Alligator mississippiensis: one gene and its partner. The protein of the gene in region 1 purifies or fractionates together with the protein of each later gene. This does not show direct contact. Links are inferred from orthologs where the notes say so. Each region holds a gene or a part of one and is shown in the gene's direction. Other genes may lie near its edges.

What was found.
Region 2: the proteins of MECOM (region 1) and SUV39H1 purify together in Homo sapiens (affinity purification with western blotting; 3 studies listed by BioGRID). This does not show direct contact. The link is inferred for Alligator mississippiensis from reciprocal best matches to the Homo sapiens genes MECOM and SUV39H1.

The regions. Positions count from the first base shown.
Region 1 is NC_081830.1:74,444,020-74,450,845, reverse strand, and holds the start of MECOM (histone-lysine N-methyltransferase MECOM), read left to right. Parts: upstream 1-3,818; 5' UTR 3,819-3,913; coding exon 3,914-3,950; intron 3,951-6,826.
Region 2 is NC_081831.1:28,365,177-28,372,138, reverse strand, and holds the start of SUV39H1 (histone-lysine N-methyltransferase SUV39H1), read left to right. Parts: upstream 1-3,940; 5' UTR 3,941-4,106; coding exon 4,107-4,125; intron 4,126-6,320; coding exon 6,321-6,466; intron 6,467-6,962. UniProt on the Homo sapiens protein: Histone methyltransferase that specifically trimethylates 'Lys-9' of histone H3 using monomethylated H3 'Lys-9' as substrate. Also weakly methylates histone H1 (in vitro).

The DNA.
Region 1 (6,826 bases):
CACAGAGGAAAAAATCGGAGGCAAACACATCCACCAGGTCCCCTTTACACAGCCGGCCAGTGCCGTCCTCCCCCTTCTTTCAATTTTATTCTGGGCACCAGTGCTCAAGAGACGCGGATCTTGCAAGTCAACTCGGTGTCTCTGGGGTCTGGATTTCACGTTGGAGAGTCTCCCTCCCCTTCTGTCCCGTGGACTGAGAATTCGGATTGAAACAACTAGACAAGCTATTAATTTACCCGGGCTACCCGGGGTCCTGAACCCAATTAATTTCTAATAATTACAGCCCAAGGGGGCTAGAGAGATCCCCCTGCCTCTTTCTAGCCTTGCCACTCCACGGCACTGAGGTCAGCATATAATAATAAAGTGTATATTTTGAAAGTGATCTGCAGAACAGTGAGTTATTGCAATGAATGAAAATTGTTTCCATTTTGGCTAATTGAGCTCCCGGCTGCAAGCCTGAGTTGTGAGTCGAAATAAAGAGGGCTGTTTCACTTCAACGCGGAGTGGAAACCCCTGCCCGGCGCTTGGTCACCCAGCAAGAGGCTTTCATTTCTTAACAGCAAACCTGAACCAAGCGTCGGGTCAACAGTATTAATGATTACATTACAATGATTAAATTAATCTTACGGGGAGCTAGGAGAATCTAGGTTGGGCTTGAATAGCACCACGTAAAGTTCACTGCACAAAGACAATAGCACAACAAATACCTCGATGAAGAATTCCAACTTTCCTCCAAAGATCTGCGGGGCTGGTGCAATTATCATTGGAGGAAGGGAAAATTTCTTGTTATGTGGAGGGCGCCGAGATCTCGGGGATGCTTTCTTCTCTCCCCCCCTCCTCCCCCAAATAAACCCAAACCCATGTATGAAAATAGATTTCGCGTTCAACCCTTTTCTGCAGCGGAAAACAAACAATCTTGGTTGGGATTGTACGGAAAACAAGCCCGCACCCCCTCCCCGCAACGAGCGCCGCGGTCAGGAGGCTGCGAGCTCCCAAACCGAGGGCTAGTGCAGCGCGGGCAGACGTGACAACCCGAACTGAAACGGATTTGCAGTGGGTCCGGCGGGGACCTCTTGGGGAGGGCGAGCAATTTTGGGCAGGGTCGGGCTGCGACTGCCGGGCAGCTCGGGACAGCGGGAAATCGGGTTTGATGCCGCCGAAATAAAAGTGGAGAGGTTTGCTGGGCGGCTTGGAAAGCAGGGAAACACCTGTTCAGGGCTCCTGATGGCTCGGGACTGGAAACAAGTGAAACTGACACGCGGGAGCGTTCAGGGACACGGAGCGGGAGTCTCCCAAGGTCAAGAGCCCCATGTGGGCTGCTCACCGGACTCCCTCTCTGCATATATACATTAAACACCCGCTTGCCCTTTCTGCCACGGGGAGGCATATAAACAAACACGCCTGCTCTCCTGTGCAGATGTGCTGCAAAGGGGAAGGGGCAGCGGCATTCATCGGCTCGGGGTTGCAAAGCGATCGAAAATCCAGGGCTTTTGGTTTCTTGCTGCTTTTCTGGGTCTCGGAGCGGGGCAGGAATCTGTGACTGCCCCTGGCCGGGAGCTCGGCCGGGGAGGTAGTTAAAAAAGAAAAAAAGAAAAACAGAAAGAAAAATAAAATAAAAAAGCAAAGTTTTGCAAAGTTTATCGAACATTTTGGATGGCTGCAGAGATCTGGCAGCGCCCGGGCGATTTGTCGCTATAAAAAAACTCTTGGGGAGAAACCGACAACCCCCCAGTGCTCGCAGGGCTTGTGCGGGGGAAGGAGAGACCCCCCCGCTGAGCGCAGCCCTGACAGTGCGGGGCTTCCTTTCTTTCCCACCACGAAGCCGCCTCCTGGACGGTGGTCCCAGCTACTGTCTTCCCCAGGCACTGGCCGGCGGGGCTGATCGGCTATTACCCCGCGGATCACCTACGAGCCTTTCAGCACAGCTCCAAAATGCTTCCAGTCATTCCTTGCAGAAGGGGAATGACTGCAGCACCTGCTGCCCTTTCCTCCCAGGCAGGGGTGGGGGCGTGCGGAGCAGATGGGGAGAGGGGCCGCGGTGGTGCCAGAGCTGGGCTGCGGGGCGCAGCGCCTGGCCGGGGTATGGCTCGGTGACAGGGGGACGGGGGCTTGGAGAGATCCCGGGTTACACCTAGGAGCGGGGAAGGAGCAGGTGATGCAGGGAGAGGAGACACTGCCTCCTCCGCGGCCTCTGCCTGAAGTTACACCCGGGATGTGTCCGGGCCCGTGGGTGCAGAGGCGCCGCACTGATCAGCCCATCCGACGGCTGCAGGGCTGGCTGGCACCCCCCACCCCCACAGGAGAAGGAGACGCGCGGTTTTCCTATCCTGCCCCTATGAAAAAAATAGGTGCGATTCGCTCCAGAGGGAGGTTTCAAACGCGGGTGTCTCGGCCAGGGCTGGGGGAAGCCCGGCGGGGAGCCTGCCCCGGCCGCCGGCTTGTTTGCAGGCACTCGGGACACTTGTGTCTCGTCCCGGTGCGTGGGAACGGGCGAGCGCGACCCCCGCCGGGGCCAGCGCCCCTTTAGTCCGTCCCGCCGCGGCCGGTCCTGCTGCACCACCGGCTCAGGGGAGGGGGAGGCCACTGCTCTCTGCCCCCTCCTTCCCCCGGGAACAGCCAGGATTGTGACAGTGAGCACCAACAGGTGACAAACAGCAACGGGAGCGGGGCTGGGGGGTGGGGGGAGAGAAAAAAGAAAGCGATGCTTAGGGTTTTATTAAAACAAAAACTCGAGCAGCGTGGACGTCCTGGCGCAGCCCCGAGTCCGAAAGACTGTAATTTTCTTTTATGGTGTCTGGCAGGATTTGCAACAGATATTAATGGGAACATAAATAGCGCATGGAAGGTATTGAACAAAACTGTTTAATGCAGGGAGGTTGTACCCGAGGAAAATCTATATGTAGTTCGGATTGATTCATACCTCGAACACAGCCAGCCCCTAAAGGACTTCCCCATTTCAACGTGTTCCCTCTTGGATGGGCAAAGCCTGTAATTAAAACAGATTAGAAGACCAGGCATTAGTCTTTTCCAAAGGGCTTTTTTTTTTTTCCTATCCAAGTGCTGATAGCTGCAGTCGAGCTGGGGGTGGAGGGTGTGTGTGTGTGTGTGTGTGTGTGTGTGTGTGTGTGTTTGTCACTTAATTCCAGGCATGCACAATAATGCAACACACAGCCCCCGTCCACCTCTCTGCCTTTCCAGGCACTGATGGTCGCGAGTGGGTGGGGGAATAAGCCACGGCAGCGCTGCAAGGGTGACAGGCTGGCTTGGATGTGACAGAAAAGCTGGTGCAAAAAGTGTCATGTGCTCCCCTCAAACTCTGCAACAGCCGGAGCGGGGAGGTGTCCTGTGTTATCTATACCCCCCCCCGACAGGGTGGGGGCTCCCAAGCCCAGATCTGATCCGCAGGCTGGTGGCTTATTAATGAATGAAGGCGTGATTAATACTAATAATTAGCAGTGGTGGCGGTGGTGGTTGCGGTGCAGCTGATGGCGGAATAAAACTACTCCCGCTCCTCCCAAGCATCTGGGCGTTTGCGCCTGGTTGGCTCCGGCCAGGTTGTTTGTGCTGGAGAGGAAGAGGTGTCCTCGCCCCGCTCCCGGCCCCCTCCCGCCGCCGATTGCCATCTGACAAGATCCTGAGATCCAAGTGATAGATCGCTCCAAACTTTTTTTGGCGGCGCCGAGAGGTTGAAGAGCGGGGGGGAGCAGCCCGTGCGCATGTGCGAAGGTGTCCAAACTGACAATGCTGGAGAGATAGCGAGCCTGGAAAGAGAGAGTGTGAGAGGGAGAGAGAGAGGGAGAGAAAGGGAGAGAGAGAGAGGGAGCGGGGGAGAAAAAAAAAAGGAGGAAAAGATCCAAGGGGACCCCCCCCCCCACGCAGCCACCCAGCCCAGCAGCGCCGCGGGACGGGCAGCATGCGATCCAAAGGCAGGGCAAGGAAACTGGCCACAAGTAGGTGCAATATCCCTTTCTATTGGCTTTTCACCCGGGCTCTGCCATGTTGCACACGGGGCGCCGGGGGCGGGGGAGGGGGTCGGGTCCCCGGCGCGGTGCAACCTGCAGCCTCCCGGCCCGCGCCCAGCGCCGGGGCGCCCCGCCGGGCAGCGCGGGCCGGGCCGGGCCGGGGGCAGGCAGAGCTCCCCGGCGGGTCGGGCGCGGGCTGGGGCCGCGGGTCGGGCGCGGCGCGGCGCGGCGCGGCGCGGCGCGGGGGTGGGCGAGGAGTTGAGCAAAAGTTGAGCGCGGCAAGTTGAGCGGCGGCTGCGGGAGGCGCGGGCGGTAGTGGGCGCTGTGGGCTCTCGGCCGGCGGCGGGCGGGGCCGGGGCCGGGGCAGCGGCGGCGCGGGCCGCGGGACCCCCGCCCGCCTCCCGCGCTGTCAGCGCAGCCTCCGCCGGGGGCGCGGGCCGGGGCCCACCCGCCTGCAAGGGTCCTCCGCGCTAGCGCCGCAGCCTCCGGCCCGGCCCCGCCCCGCCCCGCCCCGCCCGGCGGCCAGGGGGTGCGGGGCCGCGGCCTCGAGGTGCTGCCATCAAGCAGCCCCTCCGCCCCAGCCCCCGGCCTCGGGCGCGCATCTCTGCCCTCCGGGGGCTTCCCCCTCCGCCGCCCTTGTCCTCGTTGTTGATTATTATTATCATTCTCATCGTTATTATTCTTATTGTCATCATTATTCTTATTGTCATTATTCTTACTGCCATTATTATTATTGTCATTATTATTATTTAAACGTGCACCAAGGTGGAGGAGCAAACTCAGTCCGCTTTCGCGTCTGCTTTGCCCTGCGGCCGATGGCTTGATTCGCCTCCTGGAAGCCAGGCTCGTTGGCTGCCCCTCGCCTCTGCAACTTACCTTTCCAAGTGAAAACGTGCGAGGAGGAGGGTGCGGGGTGGGGGGAGAAATATGACGGCAAGACGAAGGGTTGCGTAAGTTGCATGACGTAGAAGCAGATGCTTTTTGAGTCGTTCTCTGGTGGTGAAAACACACGCACAGGCACCCTTCTCTGGTGGCACACGCACACGCACACACGCCTGTTGTATAGGGATGTGCAAAAAAAAAAAGGGAAAAGCCACAGGCTCCTTTGGACCCGCTCGCTGCCCCCCGCGCTGCCCGCCAGCGACAACCTGCCTTTGATTAGCTGCTTTTTAAACGGGATGTTCCCAGTCAACACAATTTGAAAGCAGACCTAGGAATAAGCCTCCCGAGGAGCTGCCCCGCTGCGAGGCGAAGCGGGAGACTCGGGGTCCCGGCCCCGAGCAAGCCCCGGCCCCGCTGCCCTCTCCCCGGGCCGCCCCGCCGGGCGACAGCCGCCCACTTGGAAGGTGCCCCTCCGGGCCCCCGCCCCAGCAGCCGCCTCGCTTCCTATCCTCGCCCACGAAGCAACTAGCATGACAACAACTTTTTTTTTGCTCTCTCCTTCCTTTCTTCTTGCTATTTTCAGACACTCTCCCCGGCCCCTGCGCAGCGCGTCGGCCGCAGAGCCCGCGCCGGGCCCGTCGGTGGAGCTGCCCGGTGCCCCCCGCCGCTCTGCCAGGAAAGTTTGCAGCTTTTCACCACATCCCGCGAGGCCCTGCCGGGCCCTTGGCAGAGCTGCGGGGCAAAGGGCCCGGTTCGTGGGCTCTCGCCCCGCTGCGGCAAAGGGGCCCCTCTCGCCCCACCGCCACCTTTGTGCGAAGTGAGCCTTCCCAGACGCCCCGCAGCCGAGCAAAGGGAGGGCTGGGGGGCACGTGCCCCGCGTACAGTACAGTGCCGGCTGAAGGATGCCTATATTTTTTAAAACCTGGAAAGGGTGGGGGGGGATTCCCCCAAAGAAACAAAAGGAGCCACTTCGGGAGTAGTGGGGGACCATTTTAAACGCCCAGCTGTAAAAATAAGTCGAGGGAAGGGGAAGAAGGAAGCATATCTCCCGTCCCCCTCCCCTTCTCGGGGGCAGCCTGTTCCGGGCGGCCCCGCGGAGAGGAGCCGCCGCAGCCCCCGTGCCCGTCGGACCCGCGGCACCTCCGCACCTGCGCTGCCGGCCGTGCTCGGGGCCGGGAGCCTGGCACACGCCGCGGGGGGCGGTTTCCCCCCTGCCCGAGGAAACTGGATCCCTCTGAATCAAAATGGCCCGGAAGAGCGAGACTGCCCCGAGCCGGGAGCCGTGCACGGAGCAAGCACCGCGGGGAGCCGCCCGGCAGCCCCGTAAAGAGCCCGAGGGGGATCGCATGAAGGAGCACACGCGGGGGCAAGGGGCAGCTCGTTACTTTTACACTTTATCGCCGTTGTTTTACAGGCGGGCCAGGCAGAGCCAGAGCCCCTCGCGCTCTCGGGGGACACGGTTTCCCCGCGCCCGGCATGCGGCTCAGCCCCGCGCTCCAGCCCGGCCGGACGAGCAGAGCCGGCGACTTTATCTGCCTCTTAAAACCCCGTCCGGGAAATGGCCTGCGTGCAGGGAAAGGTTTGCCAGCGCCCGGGCTCGCAGCCCCTTTCAGCGGGGCTCGTTATCTGCCATCCCGCCTGGCTTCGTGCTGCTCGACGGCGTTGGGCTCGGGGTGGGACCGGGCTCCTGCAGCCCGCCGACGGGCCGAGGACGGGAGCAGCGGGGGCAAGAGCCGGCTCCTGAAGGGGAAGATGGAGGAAGACACTTTGTCTCGCCTGACTTTGCCGGCAGCCCGCGCTCCCGCCCTCCCTTCCCGCCAGGCAGCGGCCGGGCCGGAGCGCGGGGTGCGGGCTGCAGCTCACGCACGTCCCGGCCGCCGGCCCGGGCCCCGCTGGGCTCCGCCAGGCGCCTCGTGAGGAGGCTTCTCCGCCCTGTCGGAGCACAGAGCGCCCCCAGGGCCCCCGCCCTGTCCGTCTGCTCC
Region 2 (6,962 bases), on another chromosome or scaffold:
TGTCCCCCTGCCTCAGCTTTACCCAGAATCCCCCTCTTCAACCCTCACCCAGACCTAGCTCCCCAGAATACCCCCCCTTCTCTCTATTATCCTTTAGCACCATTAGTGATTCTAGTGGGGAATTATTACCCCCCTGTAGGGTTGAATCCAACTTGCCCTGCTGCTGTGATCTTGGCAAGATCTAACCAACAAGCCTAGCTTGAGTTTTGATGATCTTATGCTATGGCGGTGGTGTGGAGGAATATGAGACCAGAACAGGGTTGAGGGAGAGTTTAGAGGGCAATATTCATATTCAGGCTGAGGTTTGCATCCAGCATGGCTCTAGGTTTTAATTTAGTCAAGAAGTTAAGTTCGATTTGAAGTGCTTTTTATACCAGGAGGGTGGTGAGGGGTTGGGATAGAGAGAAATATAAGATCAGAGCAGGTTTGGGAACAGGTTTTAGTGGGGAGCTTCCTCTCAGTGCTGTGTTTGCCTCCATTTTGGCTATGGGTTTCCATCTAGGTGAAATCTAGCAAAAAAGTCAAGCTTGATTTGAGGTAATCTTTTACTGGGGTTGGTGATAGGGGAAATATGAGGTTAGGGCAGTTTTGAGCATGTGTTTTAGGGTGGAAGATTCTTCCCCAGGCTGGGTTTGCCTCCAGCGTGGCCACAGGTTTTGATCCTGGCAAAATCTAACAAACAAGCCAAGGTTTTAATTCAGTTTGTTTCAATCTCAGCAAGATCTAACCAACAAGCCACATTTGATTTGAGGTGAACTTTATGTTGGGTGGTGGGGGTGTGGTGATTAACGGGTGGGAGCACATGAGATTAGAACAGGTTTAAGCATGGGCTTGGAATGGGGGAAATTCCTCTTGGAGCTGGGGTTTGCATTCAGCTTGGTTCTGTGTTTGGATCTTGGCAAGATTAAACAAACAAACCAGATTTGATGTAAAGTGATCTTTATAATGGGGGGGGGTGTCAAGGAAAATACAATATAACATAGGTGTTAACTTTTATTTTTGCTGGGGGGGGGCTAGAGATGCTGCGCCTCCCCCACTCCCGGCATGGGCACAGCTGAGCTGAGCGGAGCTGGGGGTGGGGAGGGGCAGGGACAGATGCGGGTTGCCCACTGTGGGCTCAGGACTCCCCGCCCTGCTGACATCCCCCCAGGAGCCCTGTGCCAGCTGCACACACCTCCATGCCGCCACCTCTGTTGCTGCTGGGTAGGCAGGTGGAGCCTCACCATGGTGGCACAGCTGGCATGGGGAGCCTGGGGGGAGGGCAGCAAGGCAAGGAGCCCTGAACGCACACTGGGCAGCCCACATCCACCCCTGCCCTGCACATAAGCCTGGGGGACATATGACCCGCCATGCTCCTTTTACTGGGAATGCACGCAGTGGCAGGGAACTGCCCCACCCCAGATGAACCGCCAGGAGCTCTGTCCCACTCCCTGTCCTGGTCCTGGGCTCCATGCATCACCATGGCTGGGTAGTGCCCCAAAACCCAGCCCCTGCCCCACTCCCTCCCTCACCATGGGAGCTTCAACTTATGCCCTCCATAGACTTACCTGCAGGCAGCTGGGGGAGCTGCTCTCTACCTGCTGCTGTCTGGGGGTTGCATTCCTGGCCACATGCATGTGTGTGCATGCATGCATGGACATGGCGCATCCCACTCCCCGCAGCCCCTTGCTGGAACTCTGCCAGTCTGCAAGGGGAAATCTGCCATTTCCTTCGTTTTTCCATGGTGAACAGAAAACCCTCAACAATACTGGGACAAATGCTGTCCTGGAGTCATGCAGCCCAGGACCGGGGCTTGATGTTCCCACTTTGGAACTGTCCTGCTCAATTAGGGATAGATGGTCCCCCTACCCTCTTCCGAAGAGGGGGGCAGGGCCTTCAGGCCTCTGCAAACTCTGTGTCTATGTCAAAGCAGGTTTTAGCACAAGTTTTAGTGGGGCAGCTTTCTCCCAGGGCTGGGTTTAGTCTCCAACATAGCTACAGGTTTTGATCCCCCTGCCCTGGTCCCGGGAGGTGATCTTTATGTGGGAGGAATAGGAGGTCAGAGCAGATTTTAACATAGATTTTAGGGGGGCACAATTAATTTTGGAACAGGGATTTGCATCCAGCCTGGCTCTGTGTGTCAGTGTTGGTGAGATCTAACAAACAAGCCAAGTTTGAGTTGAAGTGATCTCTATACCCCGGGGGAGGGGGGAGTGAGGGTTTGGAGCAGGGTGAAAATTAGCCCCTGGAGCAGATTGTAGTAGGCAAAACTCCTCTCTGGGCTGGGGCTTGGGATTGCTTTCTGATCTCAGCAGGATCTAATGAACAAGCCAGGTCTGAGCTCTGCTTTCTTAGCATGCCTTTCCCTTTCAGGCATGCTAAAGCACTCTGCCATTTCTTTCTTTTTCTAACTGGGTTTTTTTAGTGGGAAGGGGGCATGGGTTCCTGTATGGCGGCCATCTTGATCATGTCTTGGCATAGCATGGGCCATGGTTGTTCATGATCATGGTTGTTTGTGTTTGATCATGATAGAGCCATTTAATTTGTGTTTTTCTTTTTGACAATAAATCAGCCCCCGTGGCAATTAGTGTAGTGCCAGTCATTATTAAAACCATAATTTGTGCCACTGGCTTGGATATCTCCAGTGGCTGCAGGTCTGGGGTGGGATGCAGCCAGCTCTGGGTTGGATTGCCTTTGCTCATGGCTATATAGGAAATTGGGGTGCTGGGCCTGATCTAGCCTTGGATTGGGGGACATAAACTGGCTTGGGGGAAATAGGGGAGGGGTATGTCCCATTTTGGGGAATCGGGGCTTATCCTGCCCTCCTGCCCCTAACTGAGAGGGGGGGAAATACCTGTCCAAAGGGTGCTATCCCCACCTAGTGGGTCTTGCAAATGCCCCCCCCCCCAAAGTAATTAAGGGTCAGTGAGTTCAGAGTCCCTTCCTCCAACAGAACAGGAACCCAGAAGCAGATAGATGTCAGTCATGTCAACCCGCTCCCTCACCTTGGTGTGTGTGTTCCAGACGTGGGGCAGGGGGGAGGCAACTGTCAAACACCTGGACACATGGTGTGTGTGTGTGTGTGTGTGTGTGCACGTGCAAATGCACATGTCCCAACACCTAGTTTTCCTATGTGTGTGCGTATGTGTATGTGTATCCATGGCCTGAATGTCTGGGTTCTATGCTTGAGTGTGAGAGAGATGGATGCCTGGGTGTCATGTGTGTGCGTATTCCAGACACATGGGTTCTGTGTGTGTGTCCCAGATGCCTGGGGTGTGTGTGCATGTGCATGTGTCCCAGACACTTAGGTTCTGTGCATGCATGTGTCCCGGACTCCTAGGGTAGCACGTGTGCATGTGTGTGTCCGGGACACCTGGGTTCTGTGCATGTGTGTAGGTACATGTGTGTGTAGCCTGGGTGCCTAGTTTCTGTGTGTCTGTCCATCTATTGGACTAGGACTCCAGGAGTTCAGTGTGTGTGAGGGTGGGCAAGGGGTGCTCAGGTCTTGACATCAGTCCTGCCAAACCTCTCCCCAGTCCTTCGTGTTACTCTTGGCTGGCTAAATGACTATGCTAGGGGAAGACTGGGGGGGGGGGGGGGAGAGGGGGTCACATACTTATCAATATATAGCTGAAGACCCTAATTAATGACTGGGGGGCGGGTCCAGATTCCCTATGCCCCTTTGACCTTTTGGGCTGAGGGGAAACTCAGCGAGGGTGAACACTCTGCATCTCTTCCACCCCCCAAAAAAGGCGGCGAGTCTAGGAATAGAGCTTTTGAACACGTAGCGAGGCATCGGGACCAATTTTCAGCCCATTCTCGGTCTTTTCGGGAACGTTTGGCCGCCAAAAAAGGAAAAATAAAAGCCCACCCCGGTGCCGCGGCGCAAGATGGGAGAATATGCAAATAAATAGCTCGGGCGGGACACCCCCCCAGGCGGGATTGCAGGCAAGGTGGGCGGCACCGGTCGGGGAACAAATCGGCTTCCGATTGCTCGAAGCGCCTGCAGTCTGTCTAAGCCAGCCAATGGGCGGCGTGGTTTCGGGCTCCCCCCCCTTCCCTCTGCTCCCCCCGCGGGAGGGAGACGTTTCAGGCGGCCCCAGTGGCTGGCGGAAGGGAATATAAAGATGGCGGAAAATTTAAAAGGTGAGCGGGGCCGGGGCAGTCGGTCAGCGCGTGCGGTGTGCAGCGGCGCGGCTCGGCTCGGCGCGGCGGTGTGGGGTGGCAGGGTGGAAACAGCCCGGAGGGAGGAGGTGCGAACGAGGAGCGAGCTGCCTCCCCTCCTTTCCCGCGCGCAAGGCGGCGGCGACCGTTAAAGGGGGGGAACTGTTAGTGCTTGCACATGCGCAGAAGGTCGAGGAACCCTCGCATGCCCAATGGGGGAGAGCCCCCCCCCATTGCAACCCCCCTCTAATGGCGGGGGTGGGCAAGAGGGGCCCACCATGAACCTATGTTAAGAGCCCGTGGCTGGGAGTGTTAGAGACAGGCACTGGTTCCTGCCCAGAATGCTCCCCTGTTGCCTCCCATACTCACGCCAAGCTTCCCGGCAGGCACACACAGATGCGCATGTTGCCCCCACACATACAGAAACAGGGTTGTGCCAACTACCATGTTGCATGTGAACTGATGTCCTCCCCCCAGTCATGCAGGGTCGTGCCAATGTTCTGCCACTTGTACTATGATATGGTGTAACATGACCCCAAGACCCCATTTGAACCCCAGCTCTTTCCTTACCTGCCAGCAGGGTTATAACTGGGCTCAGTGTCTCATGCTGTAACTCTCCCCCCCCCCCCCCCCAACAAGTTCACGTGAACCCCCTTCCCCTCATGGCATGACCCGCCCCTCCCCCCATGTGACATTTGACAAGGTCACAGCAACCCCCTGCTCCTCATGACATGAGCTTCACCCTCCCCAACAGGGTCATAACGACCCCTTGCCCCTCCTAACACAATCCCTCCTGCTTCCCCACCAAGGTCACATCAGTGCTCTGCCCTTCATGATGGGTTTAAGCCCTTCGTGATGTGACTTCCCCCCCATTTTGACAGGGTTATGCTAACCCCCTGCCCTTTGTGATATGACCCCCTACACTTGATAGGGTCATACTAACCCCCTGCCCCTCGTGGGGCAACACCCGAAGGGTGCTAAGCTGCCCCTCACTCACACCAACCCATTGCCACTCATGATGTTCCCCCAGCCTCCACCAGCGGTGTCACGTGAAGCCCCTGCCCTGCCTGACTTCCGCCATGCCTATGCCAACCCCTCCCCAACCAGCCCATGTCAACTCCGTACCCTTCATGGAGTGCCCGTGTCGTTCCCCCACCAAGATCATGCCAAGCCCCTGTCCCTCAGGAAGTGAATCATGTTCACCTCCCTACCCTGTGCCCATCAGTGAGCCCCTCCTGACACCTGGTGACAGGCCTGATGGGTTCCTGCGGCTCCACCTTGCTATGGATGATGGAAGACCCAGCCCCGCTTAAGTCAACTTGTGCCAGGTACCTCCAACCCCTGACACAGGCCTTGACACACAAATGAAACCCCTGGCTAACTGATAAACTGCCACCCCCAAAATGCCTGGCACCAGGTGACAACCCCCTCCCCCACACTCATGTCAACCCCTGGTACCAGGTGATATTTCCCCCCACATGCATGCCAACCCCTGACACCAGGTAACAGTCCTCTCCCTTATGCCAACCTTTGGCATCAAGTGACTGCCACTCCATACTCAGGCCAACCCCTTGCACTGGGTGACAACTTCCTCCTCACAACTCATGAACCAGATGACAGTCTCACCCCCCCAGCTAATGCCAACCCCTAGCAATGGGTGGCAGCCCCCCTCACCAAACTCATACCAACCCCAATTCCCTCCCTTTCATTTTCCTTCTTGCCACACTCAGGGGAAGTGAAAGATAAACTGTCCCCTCCTCCATCCATTCCTGTACAGATGCCCCCTCCCACCCTAAAAGTTGCCCCTCATGGGGGCAGGATCCATGGTCTTACACCTGAGAGACCCCTGGGGAAAGTAAGTAAGCTCCATGTGCCCCCTTGGCAAAAGTAACTGAGGGCCACCAAGCCTGGGGTCAGACATGCAGGGGACCTGGGTGCTTGGGTTCTTTTCCAGCTCTGGGAAGGGAATAAGGGTTCAGTGGAGTGTGGGTTGGAAGCCTGGATGTCTGGGTTATTTTCTGGTTCTGGGAAGGAAATGGGGGTTCTGGAGGAGCATGGGTTTGGAGCCTGGACACCTGGGTTCTCTACTGTTTTTTCAAAGGGAATGGAGGTCTGGTAGACTGGGGATTGGGAGCCAGGCCCCCCAGCCCCTCTCAGTTGTGTGGTGCCCCCTGCAGGCTGCTCTGTGTACTGCAAGTCATCATGGGTACAGCTGCAGGACCTGTGCCGCCTGGCCAAGGTGGTATGTCCCGACCTGGGTGTCACTCGTCGCAACCTCAGCCACTTTGAGGTGGAGTACCTGTGTGACTACAAGCGTGTGCGGGTGAGTGTCTTTCCACAGCCCTCTGGTACCTCCATGGGTCCCCAGTACCCCCCCTGCCCCCCACACAGCCATGGATCTCCCATCCAGTTCCCCTAGCCCCCACCCCATTGCCTGACACCCTGCCTCTCAATTCATCCCCTACCCCAGAGGCCATGGTATCCTCATAGCCCCATGATATCCCTGCTGGCCTCCCTGGTACTCCCACAGCTCCCCATAGCTATCTCAAGACCCCCTGGTACCTCCCATGTCCCCCCAGTACCACCACTACTCCCATGGCCTCGCTATACCTGCTATGGTTCCCCCATCTGCCCTGTTAAGCCCCATAGCCCCCCTATATCTCTTGGTTCCCCCCTGGCACCTCTGAAATCCCCGTCAGCCTTCCCAAGCACCCCCACAGCCCTCCTATACCCCCATGAACCCCCTATACCCATCTTGGTCCCCTGAAACCCTAGTGCCTCCCTCTCTACCTCCTACACTCACCCAGAACCCTCTCTAC